Coturnix japonica: one gene and its partners. The protein of the gene in region 2 purifies or fractionates together with the protein of the main gene of each other region. This does not show direct contact. Links are inferred from orthologs where the notes say so. Each region holds a gene or a part of one and is shown on either strand. Other genes may lie near its edges.

The links. Proteins that work in one complex are often made in the same cells at the same time.
Region 1: the proteins of POP4 (region 2) and RPP25 purify together in Homo sapiens (affinity purification with mass spectrometry; 3 studies listed by BioGRID and IntAct, counting the BioPlex papers as one, with this or other methods). This does not show direct contact. The link is inferred for Coturnix japonica from reciprocal best matches to the Homo sapiens genes POP4 and RPP25.
Region 3: the proteins of POP4 (region 2) and RPP38 purify together in Homo sapiens (affinity purification with mass spectrometry; 4 studies listed by BioGRID and IntAct, counting the BioPlex papers as one, with this or other methods). This does not show direct contact. The link is inferred for Coturnix japonica from reciprocal best matches to the Homo sapiens genes POP4 and RPP38.

The regions. Positions count from the first base shown.
Region 1 is NC_029525.1:1,714,396-1,721,631, reverse strand, and holds RPP25 (ribonuclease P protein subunit p25), read right to left. Parts: upstream 4,342-7,236; 5' UTR 4,067-4,341; coding exon 3,455-4,066; 3' UTR 2,510-3,454; downstream 1-2,509. UniProt on the Homo sapiens protein: Component of ribonuclease P, a ribonucleoprotein complex that generates mature tRNA molecules by cleaving their 5'-ends. Also a component of the MRP ribonuclease complex, which cleaves pre-rRNA sequences.
Region 2 is NC_029526.1:7,093,472-7,101,322, forward strand, and holds POP4 (ribonuclease P protein subunit p29), read left to right. Parts: upstream 1-2,586; 5' UTR 2,587-2,704; coding exon 2,705-2,711; intron 2,712-2,797; coding exon 2,798-2,850; intron 2,851-2,931; exon of another isoform or gene 2,932-2,952; coding exon 2,953-3,176; intron 3,177-3,623; coding exon 3,624-3,701; intron 3,702-3,903; coding exon 3,904-3,965; intron 3,966-4,249; coding exon 4,250-4,351; intron 4,352-4,815; coding exon 4,816-4,952; 3' UTR 4,953-5,197; downstream 5,198-7,851. UniProt on the Homo sapiens protein: Component of ribonuclease P, a ribonucleoprotein complex that generates mature tRNA molecules by cleaving their 5'-ends.
Region 3 is NC_029517.1:18,767,229-18,775,091, forward strand, and holds RPP38 (ribonuclease P protein subunit p38), read right to left. Parts: upstream 4,810-7,863; 5' UTR 4,560-4,809; coding exon 4,554-4,559; intron 3,375-4,553; coding exon 2,502-3,374; 3' UTR 2,326-2,501; downstream 1-2,325. Other genes in the region: ACBD7 (acyl-CoA-binding domain-containing protein 7), read left to right, coding at 5,144-5,155, 6,986-7,103, 7,212-7,274, 7,362-7,435. UniProt on the Homo sapiens protein: Component of ribonuclease P, a ribonucleoprotein complex that generates mature tRNA molecules by cleaving their 5'-ends. Also a component of the MRP ribonuclease complex, which cleaves pre-rRNA sequences.

The sequences.
Region 1 (7,236 bases), on a different chromosome or scaffold from region 2:
TGGTGTGTGGTGTTCCAGCTATGAGGCCTCCCCTCACATCTTCCTGTCTGTACACACCATCATCGCCTTCCTCTGAGTGCTGGTTGTTATGATGTCTGATGCTGTGGCATCCATGTTGTACCCAATGCTGGTGGTGGGCCCGGCAGTGGGATGGTACCTGTCCTCATTCACCTGGCACGGCTGGGCCTGCTGCAGCACAAGGTATGTCTATACATCTGGTACATGCTGCTTGCTGGCAGCCAGAGCTTGGAGTCCTAATTTGGTTGTAAATTGTTTGTAGTAACACAGAACTGGCCTCAAAATGGAGCCACAGGGAACCTCACACTGAATCACAGAATGACCTGGGTTGGAAGGGACCTCAAGGATCATGTAGTTCCAACCCCCTGCCTGGCAGGGCCACCAAACATACGCCTTTACTAGATCTGGTTGCCCAGGGCCCCGTCCAACCTGGTCCTGAACACCTCCGAGGCTGCCCCCCCAGTCTGCTGTAACCCCATTTCCTACCACCTTTTGAACTCAGCCCTTCAGCCGGTTGTTCATCCATCCTATTATGGATATATGAATGCCCATGTTGTGTTTTAGAGCCCCCAGAGGCTTTAAATCGAGATCCCCCAGGGATCAGCTGCCCATAGGCAGCCATGCTGTGAGGGGATGGAGCCCTTCCTGGCAATAGACTGCTCGCTGTTAGCAGCCCAGCAGCTGGGTTAGCACAGCAGCAGCTTGGCTTCTCAGAGGGAGGCAGAGCCCTCAGGGCCCTCCATGCTTTGGTGGCTATCAGGGCCTGCAGCTGCTTGGCATTAAAGGCTTTCCACGGCTGAATGCAGCCTGGCTTTCCCAAAGGGAATCCCTGCTGCCAGGCTGTCTTCAGAGCATCAGTGAGCCCGAGGTGGATGCTTGTGTTGGTGAGACCCATTGCATCCCCATCCCTAAACACACACCAGTGTGCTGCCCACAGCTGAGGCCACTGTGAGGCTGTGCCACTATCCCTATAGCTCACAAAATGACCCCCAGATTACAATTCGTAGGCGCTTTGGGCTGTGCCTCCACAGCAGACAATCAGCCGCTCTGTTTTCACTCACAATACCCCCTTAGGACCCTGTGGAGCCAGATGCCATCCTGCTATTTATAAATGCTTCATATTCGGAGTTGCAGTCCGTTTTTATTCTGTTTTAACTATTTCTTCATGCAGGAAATCCTTGGTACGCAGCCAGCAATGCGAAGCATTTGTAATCCCCAGCCTCCTGTTGCCTCCAAATTGCCTGTGTACTGAATCAATTAACAGTCATTTTTGGACATTAACAAAATAATATGGTGAAATAAGTGGCTTTTTTTTCCCTCTCTCTTTTTCTCCTTGCCTTTCTCCTTGCTGGGGGCAACGTGAGCTGGCTGAAGGACTGTTAGTTCTCTAAAGTCTTCATGCTTAGATTGAGTTGCTTATTGAGTTCTGCCCCCAAAGTCCTGCTGGTGCTGGTTAGGAGACCAAAAACCCCTGGCTTTTACCAAGGCTGAGGCTTTGGGGTCCTGCTGGTTAGGAGATCAGAAATCCCTATCTGCGATCACTGAGGTAGAGTGTCATAACCCGGATTTCCCCATCTCGTTATGCACAGTTCTTCATTAACCTCGTTCAAGATGGAAACTGGTGCAAGATGCTGCTCTGAGGGCTTCTGCTGATCTACTTGTGGGGCTGAGGGCACGCTACAGCCTGTTCTGCAATGGCTTGTTGGCCTCAGACTGCATCGCATGCACAGCACCTGGCCAGCGCCGCTGAGCTGTGCATGGATTTGATTCTGGGGTCTGTTCGGTCCCCTCCAATTCTTATGCCAACCCCTCCTTTCTGGGAATGAAAGCCCCACAAAAATAAGAAAACAAATGGAAATTAATGTTCAATTACATGGTGGTAGATAAGTGAAATGAATCAATCTGTGGCAGGGCAGATAAGCACAAGCCTCCGGCCCAGAGGAGCAGCTGCCTGCTGAGACAGATAACAAGGTCATTGCCAAACAACCCACCCCCCTTTACTCCCCCTTCCTCTTCTTTCTCGCTCCCCTGGTCTCCTTCCATTCCCTCTCCCAGCCAAACAAAGCACTTTCCAAGCCAGCCTTTGGCAAAGCAGTGATGTCCGCTGACTCCATCCCAAGGCTGCGTTGTCTGGAGCCAACTGAATCTGTCCTGCTTGGGCAGGGGACCCAGGTGGATTTGGGTTCAGTTGGCCTCCCACAACCCATCTCTGCATTGCTTTGGTCCCCACGTGATGGCAAGGGGCTGACGTGGGGCAGATGGAGCTCCATGGGGGGCTTTGCCATGTCAGCTGGGGCCAGATGACTGCCAGGGCATGCAAAGAAGCTGGCCCTGATTCCTCATCCCCAAGAGGCAGGATTTGGCCAGGATCCCCTTGTTCTGCCTCAGCAGCAGCCACAGTCTCGCCCTCACTGTACCCATCTGTGCCATGGTCAGTGGCAAAGACGACCCCCACCCTCACCCCCCCCATTTCCCCATAGACATACTTCAATTATTTCTAAAGAGCTTTTATTTTCCATTGGTTTCCTTTTACCCATAGAAAAAGCGGGTGTTTCACTCCAAAGGGCTATTCTGGGGAGCCAGCCCATAGCGAATAATCCGCAGCCAAACCTACAAAGTTCCTCTTCATCCCAGCATCTGTCCATCAGCTTGTAGATGATCCACCTGATGCTCCCTGTTGTCTTCGTCATCATGCTTTCACCATGGCTGCAAACACCTCCGGGAGAGGAAAAACTTGAATATATGATGTGGGAAGAGGGGTTATTTCCATTCCTGTTCACTGGAGGGGCTGCTATTGAAATGAACAGCAGTGCTCCAGGGCTTGTTTCTTTGGCTCTCAGGCTGCAGCAGTTCTGAGAGAGGAAGGATCAGCTTGGGGTATTTCAGAGCAAAGCACAAAATAGCAACGATGCCACAGAGGAGAGGAAGGAGCAGAGACAAAGCAGGGAGCTGGGTGAGAGGGAGCAGGACCCATCTGCTTGTTTGTGCTATTCAGGATGAATCACAGGAGCCACGAGGCACGGAGCCCAGCATTAATAAACCTGACAGCTCCTCTCGGGGGTTAATTGCAATGAAGGTGTTACTCTGATGGGCTCTTTGCAGCTGGCTGAGACATCCCGATGCAGAGCGGAGGCATGCAGCTGCATTTCCCAATCTGGGGAGAATCCAAAGGATGCTTCAGCTCTATGGGAGTCCTGGAGGTCTGCTGTGCAGGGGGCTATTTAGCAGGGCTGACAGGAGGCACGAGTAGCTCCGCATCCCTACAAGTGCTCGCAGCACCAGGCAAAAGGGAGGAAAAGTTTGGAGAGGGGAGGTTTTCCCACAGACCTACACACTGCAGCCGCCCTTCATAAAATGGGGAGCCAGTGGGATACAAGGATGTGTTCTGCGTGGGGTCAGTAGCCCCCCCAGACCCTGCTGTGAGCATGTCATAGGGTCAGTAGTGGCCGTCCATCTGGCTGTCTGTTGTCCCCGAGCCCTGCGGGCTGCTGGCTCCCGCTACCTGCAGCTTCTTGGGCAGCAGTTCCTCACGGGCAGGCGGTGGGGGCCGCTTCAGCCCCTTGGCCGAGGAGCTCGTGGGGTCTTCTCCTGCCTCTCTGGGCTCAGGGGGTTGGTAGCCCGTCTGGTTGGGGTCCAGGGGGTCACGGGAGAGCAGGATGCAGATGGAAGGGACGTTCTTATGGACGGTCAGATTCTGTGCTGCAGTGCCAGGCAGCGGGTCCTGGTTCTCCCAGACCTCCAGCAAGGTTTTGTAGCGTACCTTGGTGACCTGGTGCAGACCCCCCAGCTTTCTCTTCATGATCTCCACGCAGGTGATGGTCTTGGTGACCGCTCTGCCGCAGCCGCTGAAGACAATCTGCCTGCTGCCCTTCAGCTCCATCTGAGCCATGGCGAAGCTCATCAGGTTCCTGATCTTGCTGCCCTCCTTCACTTTCATCTCCACCACACCTGGGGGTAAGTCAGGGAAGGGCAAGGGGCTGTCCTCCTCTGACGTCCTGACCTTTCGGAAGTTCTCCATCCTACACTGGGCAATGGGCTTGGCCGCCATCCCTCACCCCACACTTAGCCCCCGCTGCCTTCCTCCAGCTCCAACGTCACGTCCCCAGGACCCCCAGCCCCTTCCCCTCTCCTCGTCCTGGTGCTGGCTGTCCCCAGGGGAGGCCAGAGCTGTAGGATCCCCTGGGTGCCCCCGTTCGCTGCTGGCTGCAGCTCTCGGCAGTGCTCAGGCTCCTCTGTTCCCTCTGCAGCGCTTGCTTCTGCCGCTCTTTGCTTCATTCTGGACTTCAGCAGCCCCCAGAGCTGTTCTGTGTAATTAGCAGATCCTCCCCCTCTCCCTCCCCTCCCTCCCCTCCTTCTCCTCCTCCTCCTCCCCTCGCTCAGCCTCCCATCCCAGCACCCTGCTGCTGCTTCCATCCCTGGGTGGGCAGAGGGAGAAGCTCTCTCCTGGCTTTGTGATGCTCCCCAAGTCCTGCCCCCTTAAAGAGAACCTCGTCCCTTCTCTCAAGGACACCAAGCCGCCCGCAAACAGCAGCAGTTGTCCCCTGCTCCCCCCGCCCCAGCCTCCGGATCATTGCACAGTGGAAAGAGATGCCGAGTATTGCCTTGCTGCCAAATCTTATCGGCCTCTGGAGGACCTGGGATTATTTTCACCCCGAATAGGGCTTGCAAAATCCATAAATAAATGAATGGATCGGCCAGCCCCATCCCCGCTGCCCCAATGCAGCAAGAGTGGGTACCACTGTTGGGACAACCCCAAGAGGAGAAACTGAGGCAGAGCCAATGGCGTGGCTGAAACAGATTAAAGCCTCTGTGGCAAAACACTGCTTCTGAAAGATGCTAAAGCCCCTAGGAAAATAACAAGGAAGGATTTCAACAACCATTCACACAGCAGGGAGGAAAACTGCGCTGTGGGATCAAATCCTGCCACCCGTGGTCCATTTTATCGCAGCGTTCTGCGGCACTTAAAATGGAAATGAATCGTGTTATTAGCAGCTCCATCGCTAATTACCATCTGAAGCCATTCATTACCCTGTCACTGTGTGTTTGCTGGAGGACAACAGCAGTTATTCCAAGCTGAGGAGCAGCAGGATGGGAAAGGGACAAAAGGAGGGCTGAGGGGATAAAAGCACTACATGAAAAGTACAGGGAATCGGTTAAAACAGGAGAGAGAGATGGTGAAAGCTGGAGCAGCAGTAACGTGAGCCCCTGCCCTCCACCTGCCCTCGCTATATTTTCTTTCATCTGCTGAATGTGGGAGCAGTTCGGAAAGTTGAAGCATGCGATATGAGGAAAGTCTCCGTCCATCTCTGCGTCACATCGGGGTGGCTCAGGTCTCAGGTGCTCGTCACATTGCACGTGGGACAGCACCTATAACAGTGACATCCCTAAGCGAGACACTATGCATCTGGCTCCCCACTGAAACCCCTTTGTAAAGCCATAACACAACGAGCAAGAGGAATAATTGAGGGACCCCAGCCCCACAACCTTTGTATGGTCCCAAAGCCCTGTGTAAGCTCATATTTACAGCTTTCAGCTCTAATTTGGGATCTATTGTGAGCTGGTCTCCCATTTAGGGATAGCTAAGCTTGTTTCTGGTGCTACTCATATGGACCTCAATCTACGGGTTGACTGGAGAGCTGCTTAGCTATTGCTGGTCCTGGCTGCTGGGCTTACTTCATGGCTTGACCTTGAGAGTGTGGATCTACTAGAGATGTGCCAGTTGATCTGGGGTCTTGGTTGGGCTTGACCACTATCCTCAGCTCAGGTATGAATCTCTGGGTCATGGCTGGGCTGTCCCCCTTACTGTGCTAGTTATACTCTGACTAGGAGGAGAATATGCCCTTCTCAGTGTTGGTGCAGCAACCAAGTCTTGGCGATATGTTAATTCTGGTGCCGCCCTGATGCTATTGCCCTCCATACATATCACACTACATAGAGGGTCTCCTTGTTACATATGGATTTCACCATATCCATGACCTGCATAGGGTTGATCCTAATGCATACACAACTTAAACCCTATGGAGGTTCTCCCCCATATGGTGGCTGTTGAACTCTTGCCCATGGAGGATCTCCCTTGCCCTGTGTAGTGTCTCGAATCCATACGCCCCATGTGGAGCCTGACAAACTCTTGCCCCATAGAGGGTCTGCCTCAATCCATATGGAGCTTACCCTGCTCCATCCAGAGCTTCCCCTGACCCAAATAGAGCTATGAACTATTTCTCCATCCCCTACAGAAGGTCACCCAACCATATGGAATATGCCAAACTCCTTCATTTGGAGTCTCTCCTGCCCTGCTGCCCCCGTACCCCATAGGGGGTCTCCCACGACCTACAGCTCTCAGCCCGAGCTCTGCCTTCGGCCCCCTATAGGCCCCCGTCCCTATTCACTCCACGCTCGGCGGCGGCAGGACCCTGGACAGTTCCAACTTATCTCGCGAGATCCGGAGTGCTGCCCCGTTGGCGGGGCGGGCGGGTGACGGCGTAGTCTCGCGAGAGCGCGGCCGCTGCGGCAAGAGCGGCGCCGGGCGGCCGCCGCCACCCGCGACGCGACGCGTGGGAGCGGTGCTGTGCGTGGGGACCCGCTCGTGACGGCCAAGGGGCTGATGGGCGGGGGGGGGGGTGTCGTGCAGCACGGGGAGGGCACCGGGAGGGCACGGGGAGGCCGCTGGAGCCCAGTGGGGAACGCGCCGCGTGGGTGTCCCTTCGCTTTCCGTGGGTTTTCGCCTCTCGGTGAGGCCATTTCCTTGCGGGGATGGAGCTGAGGGAGCCCCGCTGCTGTGCGTGGGCCGAACCACGCGGCTGGAGGCTGTGCTAATCGGCAGGGTGCTAAGCGGGGAGGGAGCCGGGATTGAGCCAGGTGTCCGCGCTAAGTCGGGCCCTGTGCTGAGCCCGAAGGGGGGAGGGGAGAGTTTGGGGAATGGGGGCAGCTGGGGAGCAGCCCCACTCCCCTCAGTGCCTCCATCTGTGTCCTCTGCCTTCCCTCCAGCTCTGACGCAGCTCTCGGCTGCTTTCCCTCATCTCTACAGAGCAAGGAGTTCTGACTGTGCCAGCATGGCAGGTACGGCTAATCTAGGTGGGGGGGGGGGTTGGGTTGTTTTGCACTCATCGCCCCTCATTAATGGGATTTCTTGTTGTAGAAAAGGTGAATAACTTCCCACCGCTCCCCAAGTTCATCCCCCTGAAGCCATGTTTCTACCAGGACTTTGACGCTGAGATCCCG
Region 2 (7,851 bases):
CAACAACCATTTCCTAGGAAAAAAAAGGTATGAAATTCCCCCAAAGCCTTCTTCCACAGATAAATTTACTGTGATGTAAAACAGGCTGGTGTACGTGAAAACTGGAGCCATGTATGCTGCAAGAAGCTGCAAACAGCCACATTTTCTCCAAAGACAAAGCAATTTTTGACTCCTAATACTTGATAGAGCTGGGTTCTGCCCCGTGTAGGAGCGGGTCTGGAGCTCTCAGCAGGCAGCCCTGCAGCAGGACGGCTCGCTCTCGGTGCTGGGCTGCCCTCTGGTGAGGAGCAGAGGAGTGCTGAGAAGCAGGCAGGAGTTAAGCTGGCTGAACACTCACTGCTTCAGCACTGCCAGGGGCTGGGAAATGTATTAACAACTTGGTATTTGGGTAAGGGAAATCAGATCGGAGCGTTTAAAGCGGCAATTATTTTCACCAGTATACCTGTCCCAAGGGACCAAATGTGACTGCTAATACAATTTGGCCAAGAGGAACAAACTGCATTGATCTTAAGAACTCCAGTGCTGGCTGAGATGCTCTTTCTGGTGAATTACAGTATCTGTTTCTTGTATCAGCTGCAATCAGGAAAAGCAGTCCGTGATTACAGCCCAGTCACCTCCTATGCACATCACTTCACTTCTGCTCATCTCCAGCTTCAGTTCACAATTACTCTTGAACAACAAACAAACAAAGCAACACCACAATCATCTCTTCTTACATCATACAAACACCTCTGTTTTCTGCAGGTGGATACTCTGCACCTCACTTGTAGCTCTCTGTGCTTCCCATCACTGAAATTCCCCCAGCACATTGCTGTTACCTGCCTTGGCCTGCACTCGTTTCTCCCATCACCCACTGTAACTCAACGCACCGACAGCCGAAGCAACATGGCCCCCTGCTGTACACATGTATGGTGGTTCATTGTTGGGTGTTCACAAATACATAGATACATAGACTAAAAAAGCAATAAATATAGCCATACACAGACTTAATGGGATAAGAAATACCAATGCTAGCACCTGCAAAGGGGAATAAGTAATATATATTAGGGGTTTATATCACCATAAACTTGTATTGTGCTTGCAAGCTGATTTACTTGAAAAAGTAAAAAGCTTCAAAGGCCTGAGACTAAGACACTTCTGACACTAAGTGAGGTGGAGACATCCAGAAACATGCATTAGAATTATCTGCACTTCTGTTTACATATTTCTGCATTGATTTTATTCCAAATTCCCTTTTTACTCATCTTCCCTCATTTCTCTGAGCCTTCTCTTCCTTTCTGATCCATAAAATATTTCCACGTATTCTTTTTCCTCCTGCTCTTTTTCATGTTTATTTGATTGAGTCCCACTCCCAGCTCAGAGCCCTTTCCCTGGAACACACACTAACAAGCTGACCCAGCTCTATCAGACACTGTCTCTGAAGATAGATTGGGAAATGAAGATGTAGAGCTGTTGGAAGAGACTGGCTTCCCCAGGCACCTGTTTAGCCTGGATCATTGGATTTACTACACTGGCATCACCAACACCGATTTGACTATTAATCCCTTAAGTGCCTTAGGAACTGCAGCATAAATCCAGCCAAGGAGCACTCATACGGCCCTGAAGACCCATAGCGTTCATCCTGGCACTCCATTCATGAAAACTGATCTTTTCTTAAATAGCAATGACAACTCAAGGAGTCCCTGCTTTGTAAAAACAAGGCACCTGTTTGCTGTGGCAACATCCTACACTGCCAAGAGACCTTTCATACACGCTGTATGGGAACTGTTGAGTCCCAGCCTGAATCACTGGGCACCTGAGAAAGGACCTGCTCAGCCCTGAGAGCACAAGTGGAGGCAATTCTCTTTGTGAGTGGAAGGGTGGAGCCTGGCTGCACCTCTTACACCTCATTTAAGGGCTGACTGCCACCAGGGAAGGTTCTCTGGTTGGAGATCCCTCCTTGGTGAAGCCTGTGACCTTAATCTTCAGAGATGGGTGAGCAGACCTTTATCCTTCCTTTTTAACACCATTCTGTTGTATTAGTCCCTTTATTATTACAGCTCTTGTATCACCTTTCCATCACATTGATCTTTCTGGTTGTTACACAAACCAACCAGTGCTTGTGCTTATTAATCTGAAGGGACTGGCCTTTTTTTCTCTACAAATACACATTTATCTGCAGTTTTGTCCCTTGTTACACACTGCTTTAGTACCTCTGTGCTCCACAGCAGCACTCAACACAATGCTCACATTTCCTATGCTCTGTCATGGCAGCTCTGTCAGCCTCCTTCCCCAGGGGGCACTTAGTTACACGTGTGGCTGATACCCACCCCGTGATAGGAATACAAACACCTCTATTTTAATGTGAGCTTGGACTTGCTAAGCTGAGGAACTTGTGGTACTGTTTCCAGAGCACCTCTGTGCCAAGAGGTGTGGGAGTGCAGCAGGGCTGGAAGGGGCGAACCCCTCGGAAGAGCAGGAGATGCTGCGTGCACATGGATGTGTATCCTCGTACTAAACTGCCATGCTCAGGCCCAAAGTTCCTACTGCTGCAGGGGGCTGAGCTCGGGTTCCGTAGCCCCCACCCCGGCACACAGAGCGTTGGGAAGCGCTTGATAGAGCGGCACTGTCCTGCAGCTCCACCTGCCGCACTGGAGGGGAAGGGGGGGATGCAGCCAGGCCCGCCCCGGTCGCACACACGTCACGGCTGCGCCGGAGCATCGAGATGGAGGGTGAGTACAGGGATGGGACGGGACGGGAGGAGGATGAGGATGAGGAGGTAGATGAAGGGCCGGCTGAGCCCGCTGTCTGCCCGCAGGTGTGTTGTACAGCGGGCTGCCCCGCGAGGCGGCGAAGGAGCTATGCCTACAGGTACCGCTCCCATGTACCCCCACAGCCTCTGCCCAGCGCTGCCTCAGCTCGGCGGGCAGCCGGGCTCTAATTTAATTAAAGTCTGTTTTTAAACACCTTTAGCCCCAAGGGTCAGAGGAGGCCAGAGCGTTTGTGAGCGCCTTCCTGAAGCGCAGCATGCCCAAGAAGAAGGACGAAGCCATCCAGGATGTGCTAACGCGGAAGGCCGTGGTTCTGGAGCACCACTGCAGGAGGAGGAAGAAGCCAAAGAGAAGGAAAACAAAAACCTTCACAGCCAAACAGAGGAGGGAGCTGGGGCTGTTTGATATCGAGCCTGAGCAGCAGAGGTATGAGAGTGAGTTTGTGTGCTCTGTGGCACTAAACCACAGCACAGCTATAACCTGGGCTGCCTGTTGGATGAGCTCATCCCTGACCAGTTCTTTCCTAAGTGCTGCCACCTGTGACTTCAATTCTAATCCCCAGAATGGCTGCAACCAGTGAATCTCCATTTTGCATTATGTTCCTTGACCCAGGACATGCTGAGTAAGGCCAGTGCTGCTCCTAAAAGGAAGCAAGGGGGAGAAAGAGGAGCAGAAAGCTCTTAAACACATCCCTCCCCTTGGGTTTGTTCGGAGCATATTCAGCTTTACTTGGAGTGGTTTACTAAGTGATCTGTGCAGCTGATAACATGTGTAATTCTTAGTTTTAACTCTGCTTACTAAGACAATCTACAATATAATATATTATAATATATATAATTAAGTTATTGTAAAATATTTGCCTTCTAACTGCAGATATGAACTATTTCTACCACTACATGAACTCTGGAAGCAATACATCAGAGACCTGTGTTATGGACTTAAACCAGATGCGTAAGTTTAGCTAATCTAACCACCACCATTTTTTAAGGCATTTCAAGTAGTAATTTGATTAAACTTAAATGTCAATTATTTAATAAGGATATATGCTATTTCTGTAAGCTTTGACCAGTATTTCAATAGGCACAGTCACACCTTATAAACATGCTTTTCCATGTATTTTTTTCCCCTCTCTGATCCTACCCTTTTCTTCAAGGCAACCACAGATGGTGCAGAGCAAACTGCTGAAAGCTGACCTCCATGGAGCTGTTGTTACAGGTATTGTTTGCTTTATTCTGCAGTTATCTGAGATTTGCTGTACTTTCTTATGTTTCAGGTGCTCATTGAATTCCTTTCAGTATCAACTCTAGGATAATGTAATTGTGTTGATGGATTCTTTCTCCATTTACCAGTGCTGCTTAACTTTTCAACTGCTCTACCAGTTATCACTATAATTACTTCAGACTATTATCTCAGACTTCTAAAATGATGAGGCAATAATGGAACAGCAAACCAGCTGCACCTGAATTTATTCTAACACATTCCTATTCTTGTTCTTTCAGTCACAAAATCAAAGTGTCCATCTTATGTTGGGATAACGGGAATAATCCTACAGGAATTCAAACATGTCTTCAAGATTATTACTAAAGACAACAAACTAAAAGGTATGGCAAATGTTTTTCAGTGCTTGTTATAATGTGAGTTACTGAGAATCGATCATATTATTATACTTCTGAGTAAATGTATGAGCACATACATACATTGTTCTTTACCACTGCTTGTAATTCTTTGCATAGTGGCAGAAGTTCATGTCTTTATCTGACATGTAAAAACCCAATAATGTACCTTAGAAGTAATTTAAAAACATATTTCCAGTGATTTATAACATGATTATGCACATGGTTCATTCATCTGATTCACTGTAGATCGTTCTCTGCAACTCTTACTGCACACTTGTGAACAAGGACTGAATTCTGTCAGTTTTGCCCTTAAATGTACAGGCTGTATTGAGTGTATTTCTCACACTGCAGCATTAAACCTTGACATGTTATGAACCTGAAGCCTGCATGTGAATAGTATTCCCTGGTACACCAGTATCTATGCATAATGCTACTTCTCCATTTTTCAGTTGTTCCCAAAATTAACAACGTATTCAGTGTGGAGACTGATGGATTCATTTCCTACATCTATGGAAGCAAGTTCCAGCTTCGAGCAAGTGAGCGGTCTGCAAAGAAGTTCAAGCTGAAAGGAACTATTGACCTATGATTTCATAGCAAATCAAAAGGAAGTTTAATTAAGATGTCTGCTGTTCTCCTTCAGTTTACAAAACAGGTTTTCTGGCAGACTGAAAGACAGAGTTAACTAGCTGAGATTTTTCTGAAGTGTTTCTTCATACTGAAGAATGACTGGTTTCATCTTTAAAGCAGTCTGTCAAACTGCTGAAGTCTTAGTTGTATCTTTTACTTGTGTGTAATGTTCTGCCTTTTATTAAACTTGTGATTAGTACTGATTACCTGGTTTTTGTTTCTATTTTGACTGTATATTTGTTCAGTGAATGTTTTATCTTATAACTTGCTTACAGAGCCTGCTTCGTTCAGAAGGCAGCAATAACACCTGTCACTGTGTAAGGAGACTGCAGCTGGTAACTGCTTTTATGTGATTGCTCCTGGATCAATCATTGCTGCCTGTTCAGCTTGTATCCATGCTAGACTGAAAAACCTTATAATGAAAGCATTGGGCAAAAATGTCTTTCATGTTTACTGAGTCAGCAACAGAGGTGATTTATGCTGCAAAAGGTATCATGTCCTGGCAGGTCAATGAGAACTCCTATGAGTATCAAGAATGCTTTCTGGATTGTTTTCCGCTAAACCAGGGAATGTTTTAGTATCTGACTTCCAAGGACTGATAAATACCAAGGTCAGTAACTTTCTTATCTTAGTCTGGAACTATTTATGCTTTTTTTTCCCTAGAACTACCTACCCAAATGGAAAAATACATTGTTTGGGGTAATGGTTAAAATGCAAATGCACAAGAAGTGGAGGTGAAACCTCTAACTGAGCACATGCATTTAAACAAGCAAGACATGTCTTAAACCACAGGTGCTTCAATCAGGACAGTGCCTCACAGGTGAGAAATCATGATTCTTTCTGGGCTTGTAGCTACTTGCAATCACTAGACAAGGACTTGGATTCTGTTCACGAGTACTTTAAAGTTAACAGGCACTTAGTCGAGCTCTGAAGTAGTTACATCAAGGTATCTCCCTTTAAGCATAATTCCTCCCAAAGTTCTTTGAAATCCATTAGATTTCTCTGAGAATCCACAAGGAAATATCAACAAATTGGCAGAAAGCTTAAGTGACAGTAGAAACTTTCTCTGCAGGACAAAGGCTTCATTTTCATTTTGCTTATAGCTATCAGTGTAACATCTAATTAAGACATCTGTTAAATGCCTATAATATTAAATTAATAGAGGGAAGCTAATGGAACTTTATTGGCGTAGTCCTGTTAATTAAAGACCTTTAATAGATGTCTTAACTAGGCATCATTAATGGCAATGACACACAAATTGGAATTAGGCACGATCCCATTTCATTGTGCTGCAGAGGACATACTATATTCTGCCATACAGACACACAGATGAGCACAACAGCATTTTCCATAGCTATTGCTATTTACACTTTTCTACATTTTACTTCAGTGGCAGGAAGATGTGCTGCTTAGCAGCCCCTTTCAGTAAATAACAGTAAGGAAATAATTATTTACAGTGAATAGTGCTGGAGAGGTGTTCAGAGGTCTCTGAGGTACTTAGATGCTAGCAGCACAGATGACAAATGAAGCCTAACAAGAGATTGAACAGCCAAAGCATTCAAACTACCTTTACTGCTGTTGCTAAATCACCTGAAGAGGCATTTTTACCTCATCGAGGTGTTCCAAACATCCAAATGTAGGTTTTTTTTAATAAGAAGTTCCAGTTCCTTACTGTTCCTAATGCAGCATCTCCCACCCCACAGGAGGGCTAATCCCTGGCTCCTGCTATTTGTAATGCTCCCTCACCACACAGTAAGATTTCCATAATTAATTTCTCATTAAATCTGCAGTGATCTTACCTTGGGATGCGAGTATAAGGCTTCAGCGACACATCAGCTCTTCTTTTTAGCACCATCATCCCTGCAACCTTCTCTAGATGAAACCCCAGCAGAGAATGAGGTGCCCAGTGCCCACCAGCACTATGTAACCAGCCTTCTGCACAGCACAGCTGAGGCCAGCATGCAACAATTGCTCTCCTAGGCAACTGGTTCTCTACTGTGACAAACACCTGAGTGTTCCCCTTACCCAGCTGCACTGATTGCCTCTTGGCTCTGAAGGTCAGCACAGGGAGCCTTGGTGAGCAATAGTTGACCTAAGTTAACGGATGTTCAACTTCATGTGTTTTCTTAAACAGAAAGAAAAACTGGATTTACAAATCATTTCATCCCTCAGTGGTGACCAAACTATGGCCTTACGGACCTTGCCAAGAAACAGAATTCCAGATTGTATGGCAACAATGAGCAGTTCCATGGAATTTTACAGAGTTTTGATCCATCTTTCCCCTCTGTTAATTCTGTCATTTCTATTCCGAGCTACATTTCCCTGTGTTTGATGAATATGTATTGCTTTGGTAAGACAGAAACCTCCCTCAGAGTGCTGCTTTAAATTAACAAATGTGAATGCATGGGAGCAGGCACCCCCTGCAGCTGAGCTACACCTGGGCTGCAGAGCCAGCAGCACCCCGTGCTCTGTCTACAGGCCATTCTGACACCTGGGCTGCACAGACAGCCATTTGTTTCCAACCAAGCCACTCACTGTTTATTGTGTTAGGACCTATTCCACTAACTTGACCAACAGAACTGATTTAAAACGTGTAATTTTTCATCTCTGATACCGGCAGATCTGACAACCACCACCTTCTACAGGCAGCTGAATGGCACACTGAAGATTTGCAGTATCAGCCTATCGATACAAATCTCTTCCTGGCACATTAATTAATAAATGCAGCCTTGTTTCTTTCAGCTCTCAGAATGAGCTCCATGACATACATACACACTGCTGCAGGCCCCAGGCCTGCAACAGGATGGTTAAGGAAAGCTGCTCCTGTGTTAGGGGGCCAGATGTCAGTGAAGACCTCT
Region 3 (7,863 bases), on a different chromosome or scaffold from region 2:
AACGTGTGGTGTTCCTGCTTCATTCTAAGGGCAGGGCCTCACCCCTCTCCTCACCCCATTCAGCCTGGCAGCTGTGGCCCTGTGCCCTGGCAAGGAACTGCTGCAGCCTGGTGGGCTGCTGCTCTATGGGTGGATGGCATGCAGGCAGGATGATGCATTCATTTTATAAGTGCAAGAAATGGTAGATGATGACTTTTCTTTACTCCTCTTTTCCCTGAAATCAAGAGGCAATTCCCCACAACCCTATTGTTTGAAAGAGCTGTTAGGCCATGGTGGGACCAAGTATGTCTAGGTCACAGAACTGAACCTGGTTTTCTGGCAGCCTGGCTTTCTGCCCTGACCTCAGGCTGCCTGCCAGCAATGGAGGGTGCTGTGGCCACTCCTCTCTTTTGCCATCTTCTCCAAAAAGCAATGAATCTGAGGGGTGCAAATTTGTCTTCTGGCTCCAGCTGCACACGAAAGGAGGCAGAGCTGTGCTCCTGCTGAAGCTCTGCAGTTGTTGTAGCTATGACTAAAAAGCTGCAGGCTGAGAGGATAAAGAAAAGGGGCAGCTGAGCCTAAGCTGGGGCAATTCCTAGAGAAGCCCCTTCACAAAAACATCGCTTAATAGCTGTTCAGTGCAAAAAGGTCTGTCCCTGTCAAGTGCTCAGCCCTTACAGCCAGCCATGCTCCTTACCTCCAGTGCTTTGCTCAAGTACCATAGCTTCAAGAGAATGTGAGTCTCAAAGGTGTCCTGGTGGAAATTATGGCAGCCCACCTTCACTTCCTAAGCAGGGCATTGGTGTGGGTGCTGCTGTCAGCTCTGACAGAGGCTCTAGTGCTGTTTCGGGTGTTGAACCTTCACGTGCATTAGGCTTGATAAGAATGGCTACCAGGTAAAACTGCAAAAAACTAACGGATGGTTTCACCAAAATTGGCAAATTTGAAGGCATTGGAAAGGCTCTACTCCGTTTCCCACAAGTCTTTAGAAACATCTGCAGTTTGTTAAGTAACTTTGCATCTGTGGAAAGGACCCAAATCCTTTGGGAGAGCTGTAGACCTGGACAGGCAGCAGGGTGCTTGATAAGCAATTGCTGTGCTTATGTTCTTTACCAAAGCCTAATCCTCATGCTTTCTGTAAAGACTAAGAGCTAGATGTTACAATTAGCCAGCATGGGAATTAATTATGCTAGGTTCTAGCACGCCTTCGCTATTTTATGCATCTAAAAAGCCAAAGTAAATGACCTCTGGGAAGGACTATGAAGCAAGGCACAATAAAACAATCTCCTTGCCACCCTCAGCAAGGAAGGGCAACATTTTGGCATCGAATGTCTGCTTTGTTTACAGGGAGCATCGTGACTACAGAATCATCGCTACTGCCTCCCTTCATAGTCACAACCATGAATTTAAGTCACTTCTCAATAAATCCAAACTGGCTGATAGCAGCGAAGACTACGTTAGCAGAGCCCTGAAACCTACAGGGTGTAAATTCCATCCCTGAGGAACAGCAAAGTAACTCAGCTCTTTTCCAGTACTGCAGTGCTGACTATTAGCTGCAGAGTGCCAAATCAACTCCTGCGCTATCCGTTTTGATTGCAGTTTGAATTGCAGCGCTATTTATTTCCTGCCTACAAAACAGTTTCATTAAGAAACTGTTCACAGTCATCAGTAAAATTAAAGGAAACTCTATAAAGACTTTTAGACTGTTGTAGTGACTATAGCTGTCACCTGCTACTTTACATTCAGCGGTACTCGGCATCTCTGAACTTCCTGGATGATAATTTTAGACTCCATTTAGAAACCGAGCGTAGATTAGTTCATGTTTTCTCATGGGATACATGTGTTTGCATATAGGGGTTTGTTTTTCCAAAATGCAGCAGTATTTTGTTCCATGTATGAAAATAACACTTTTCCTTCAGCGTATCAGGCAGCAGGTAGAGTTGGAGTCCAAGCCTGCGTACATTCTTGACCAAAACAAGCTTATTGTTCAGCAGAGAAAAGGACAAGAGCTCAGAAAGGAAAGTCTGCCTGTGCTGTTACAGCTGTTTACTTGAAACAAGCATTGAACCAGCTTTAAAAGTTATACTGGCATGGACCTTGTTTAAATAAACTTTCAGTTTTGGTATTATTTTTTTTTTATGTGTAATGACATTAATTTCAATCAGTTCTGTCTAAAGCATGTTCACATGTAAAAAAAACATACAAAGTTTGCTTAGCACTTAGTATTAATTCTAAAGATGCGCTTGTTATCCTCACATTACTTCAAGACGTTCATTAACAGTCTCAACTTTGTGATCTCCAACTGCAAATGAAATATTTATCTCCAGATAGAGGCTCACACACAACTTGGAGCCACATTCTTTATTAAAGCAGACAGAACCTCACCTGGATGCATCATACATGAGTTAACCTGAGTTAACTGCTTTACACTGCTAAAGCAGAACAAAGTAGTTCAGTTACAGCTGTACTCCATAGGCAGTAAAAAACAATCACAGTGCTCTGAAGAACTGAACTAAAATCAGTCATGCTGAAAAAGCTTTTTTCTTTCTGCGAGGTGGCTTCTTTATCTTATTTGGATTTGGAACAACTTTCTTGATTTTCAAAGGCTGCAAAATTACATGTGAGAGATGGAGCTGATTGCTTTCTGAACGCTTCCGCTTCTGGCTTGAGAGCTCCTCCTCCGGCGTCTCTGCAAGCTGCTCAGCTTCATCAATTTCTGACAACTCCGCACATGCAGCAGATCCTTCTGTTTGGAACTGAAACCACGGCACTTCCAAAGCAGGTATCTTTGGAATTATCGCTTCTACTACGTCAGTGAACTTATCAGACTGCCTTTTGAAGCCGAGCGCTAAAATGGATGTTAAGCCAAGAAGCGGTGCTACCGTTTCACTGAGGCGGGGAACCTGGCCTGCTGGCGTGGCTCGACTCGCGCTCAGCTGGATGAGATGGGATGTGATCATGGCAGGTTTGGCAGATTTGCACACCAACAAGAGAAGCAGCTCGTTTTTCTCCAACGCTTTTGTAACTTCATTAATTCCAATAGCAAGCTGCCTCCTGATGCCCACGTCAGTCCATCCCAGTGCTTGTCGATGGCCTTCAGTTTCTTTTTCAGCAGGGAGTTCGCTGTTGCTACCATCACACTTGCTTTCCACTTGGTTTTTTGTAGAACGTTTTTTCTTTCTTGGAGTCTCTATCTTTTTAAGTCCGATACGTTTAATCTTTTCTTCTAAGGTCTGCAATATGAAATGCATACCATCTCCATCTATGGCTTTCCATTCGAAAACAAAGGGGTTATCTAGACACGTTTTTACAGTGGTTTTCTTTGCTTTACGAAGCGACGCCGTCCCTTGTGGAATGACAGGCGTCCTCAGGTTCTGTTCTGTTTCGCCACCTAGCTGTGGAGGGAAGAAAAAGGCAGAGAGTCGTTCAAATCCTGCACTGTCTGCTGTGGACTTTGTTACAAGAGGCTCCTCTTGGGAATGGGGGAAAAAAGCAGCTCAAAGCAATACTGGCAGGAATCACCTTTATAGCAGCTCAGTGCTATATATATATCAGTGCTTAATAATCCTCCAGCAGGGCACAGGTTGCTTGCTTTTTTCCAGCAAGGCAATGCCAGTGATGGGAAACCTTTCTGAAGCTGAAACTGAATGGAAGTAGCAGGAAGTCCCACAGATAATGTTAATAATAAAGCTCAGGTTGTGAAAGACAAGTTTTCATTGCTGCACAGCTCCATTTTAGAACTATCCTGATGTGATAAAGCTGCAGAATCGCAGCATGAAACAATCTCCAAGTTCCTGAATTCATTTGGGATAAAGTTGTGGGTTTTTTTAATTTTCATGTGTTTTTTCTCACTTATCTATGTCTTACATTTATCTGCATTTAGAAGGTATGACAGAAGGCTGCAGAGCACATTTCTGTGGAGGAAAGCAATCCTCTGCAGGCCATGGAACATTCAGAAGGGTTCTTTGACTCCTGCATCAACTAGGCCGTGCCTTTAGGGTTATGAAAAAATCAAAGTGGTGCAAAGAAAGGGTCACTGTTCCAGTTCTGCTCTATCCAGTCCAAGTGAAGGCATGCTCTGATTACCAGCCCTGCCCACTCACTAAGTCCCCATACTCAAACCTGGGTTACTGTTCAGCATCTCCTGCTTTACATTGCACAGCCAACAGAACGTGATGAGAACTTGTGTGCCAACTCAGGAGGAACAGACACGGCTCTCCTTAGATCCCCTCCTTCCATAAGTAGAAATATTACAAACATTACTTCAGTGGCAACCTTTAGATATTTATAAGGCACCATTTATATCACATCAATTCCCTGCATGCTGATAACAGACTACCTTGGTTTTAAAAGAACACCTTTGTTGTGTATGTTGTGTATGTGAGAGCACACGCTGAAGCAGCCCGCGTCTGTCTTTTCAAGATGGAGGCTACTGAGGAAAACAATCGTGTAGGCACAGGAATCAAACTGACGGGGCACAACAAGCAAAACCCAACTTCTTCCAGGCCGATCAGCCGCAGGACCCGCCGCTGCCAGCAGAGGAGCTGAGAAACGCGAACAATTCCAACATTTACCTCCATTCCAACACTCCGGTTTCCAAACGCCTCGTGGAAGGCCCCGCCGGCTCCCGACCAGGACAACGCAGTTAAAGGCAGGAGCCACCACAGCGCCCTGACAACAGGCCGGACGGACGGAGATGGAGATGGAGCTGCCGCTCGGCTCAGCGCGGCCTCCACGCCGCGCTACCACCGGGCCCAGCGCTCCGGCACCGCCAGTACCGCCCGATCCACGCCGGCAGCTCGAACCCGCCCCGTCCCGCTCCGCCCCATCCGCCGCCGTGCTGCGGGGCCGCCGGGCGGGGGCAGCCGCGGTGCGAGGGAGCTGCTGCCCCTTCGGATCCTGTCACGGTGCTGTAGCGCATCTCTGCGAGGCGGTGATGCGGATGGCTCGGGGCTGCGGGATGCTTTGGGTTGGAGGAGGCGTCAGAGCCCCCCCACCCCCAGGGGCAGGGCCGCCCCCCACCAGCACAGCTGGCCCACGGCCCGTCCAACCCGGCCCCGAGCGGCTCAGCGCCCCGTGACGGCAGCGGGACCCGAGGGGAGGCGGCTGCCCGCTCTGCATCGCGCTGCGGGAGCGACACCGGACCGCGCGTGTCCGCCCGGCCATGGCCCTGCAGGTGAGCGGGGCGGGCGGTGGCACTGCGGCTCGGGGTGCGGAGCGGCGCGTTACGGTGTGTCCGCGCGGTGTGTCGGCACCCGCTGCTCGGGTGGGTTATCGATGGGAGCTGCGCTACGGGCGTCTGTGGGAAACGTGCGTTTCTAAGGGAGTTTGTAGAGCGTGCGTGTCTTTGGGGCGCTGCGTTTTGAGTGAGGTTTGGCAGGAAGGACGCTGCCTCCCTCTGTCCGTATCGGCGGCTCCTGGAGAAATCACCTTCGTCGCTGCCTTCCAGCGCTCCGCCTCTGCGCCACCTTTAAATGCCCAGGACTGGTTCGGCTGTTTAAGGGGTTTTCCGTTCTCCCTTTGGCTTTAAGACCCTCCAGCCCTTTCTGTTGCCTTCGTTTCCATGCTGCCTCGCCTCGCTCCGTGTATGCGAGGCCCCGTCGCGGGGCGCGTTGGCCGCAGCTCAGCGCTTGGAGCCGCAGCACAGAGGGTTCGTTGTTCTGCTGACCCCGCGCCCTCCATGGGCCGGGGCTGCCAAGTCCCGAGCGGAACAGCAGCTTTTGTTTAATTTTGCTGTGTTCTGCCTCGAATTCCTGCTAGAAAATAAAGTCTGGTGACTGGGAGGTTGTGGATGCCCCGTCCTTGGAGGTGTTCAAGACCAGGTTGGACAGGGCCCTGGGCAACCTGATCTAGTAAAGGTGTATGTTTGGTGGCCCTGCCAGGCAGGGGGGTTGGAACTACATGATCCTTGAGGTCCCTTCCAACCCGGGTCATTCTGTGATTCTGTGATTTCTGCATTTAGCTTTAATGCACGTGTGTAAATCTACGTCTGCATATGTATATGTCAACTGTAGACACGCTTCTGCTTTTGATTTGAGGAGTGAGAGGGAAATTCCATCAGCTCGTGATTAAAGGATATTATATTCTGCAGCTGCTCCTAAGCGTGTTGTGTAAGCAAGCAAATCCTAAGCAAAATCCGCGCACAAGGGTTGGATTGAGGGAGATGAAGAAAAGAATGTTTGAGGTGGAAATTCCATTTCCGTGCACTTATTGCTGCCCAAGGTGTGCATTGCATGTTTTTGAAACAGCGGTTTGTGCTATTTCTCATAAATAGAATAAAAGGATAGAAAAATAAGAAGCTAATAACGGCATCCTTACTGTGAGTTGGGTTTTGTATTTGGTTTGGTTTTATTTATCACTTGTCTGTACAAGCCTAATGCTTCCAGCTCATTCTTTTTTATGACGTTAGTTTGGAAAACAGCTCTGCACATGGGAGGTTTCCATCACTTGAACAGTCCTTCTACTCCACCTGGTCAGGGCCTTACGCACAGCAATGGCCACAGTGTAAAGATGAAGATAAAACTTATGCAGTCTTCAGTCAGTTGTGGCACCTCGATTGTGTGTTGATATTGATGCCAGCTCTTCCTCGTGCTGGTGACCGAGCATGAGTGCTGCTGTTTGTACATGTATGGGTAATGCAAAGAGGTGCTGGTGGTGTAAGTCGCTGATTTGCAGGGTCAGGTATGTTGCATCTACTGGTGTTGGGATTAAGAATGAAATACTTGTTTTAGAATGGAGTGGTTCACTTGGAAGGGACCTACAAGACCAACAAGTCCCCCTGCCTGACCTATGCAGGGCTAACTAAAATCTTAGGCCTTGAATGCCTGAGCTGACATCAGTTTATTAAAGGTTTTATTAAATCTTGTTCGTGGGAAAATCCTAGGCTTACCACTGAATATACAAGTAATAGAAGCCATCTAGTGACCTGCTGTGCTTGCTATAATAAATGTTTGAAGCACGCCCCTTCAGAGGCAAATTCATACTTTACATATTCTTCTTGCATTAGGCTGACTTTGATGGGGCTGCAGAAGATGTAAAAAAACTGAAGACAAGACCAACTGATGAAGAACTGAAGGAACTCTATGGATTCTACAAACAAGCTACTGTTGGAGATATTAATATTGGTATTTCTGTTCCCATATATACATCCAGTTTGCCCCATATCTTGAAAACAAGAAAATGTTTTATAAATCTGCATGATAATTAATGATGGTATGCATTTATTTTTGCAGAATGTCCAGGAATGTTAGATGTGAAAGGCAAAGCCAAATGGGAGGCGTGGAACCTGAAAAGAGGTGTTACAGCAATTAAATTTGCCTCATGTAATAACTTCAATAGGATGTCAAATAAGAAAAGATAATGACTCCTCCTTTTCTTTGCAGGTATGTCGAAGGAGGATGCCATGACTGCCTATATTTCTAAAGCAAAAGCAATGATTGAAAAATATGGGATTTAGAATACTTGGACATCGCACTGTGGGTCTTCTCAGTGGTTAATGGACTAACTCTGCAGGGGAAAATGCAGTTTCTAACTAACTGGTTATTGTGGAATCTAACAGTAATTAACGCGTGAGCCACTGCGAAAGGTGTTCACATGCATACTGTATTTTTAGACTGCAACTTAACTCTAATCAAGTCTGAGCCTATGAAATAAATGCTTCTGTAAGAGTCGTGGATATTCTTTTGGTATGAAATCATATTTAGTATTTTTTGCAGTACACACAGAGACGCTCTTAAGGTAAAATAACTTATATTAGCTGTCCCTTTTTGCAGCTGATGTTGAATAAAGTGAGGGGTTTATGCACTTGCTGAATGAGAAGAGAGAGAAAAGATGAAAACTGTTTTATTTGTAAGACACAAAGCTGGAGTTTGGTTTCAAAAATCA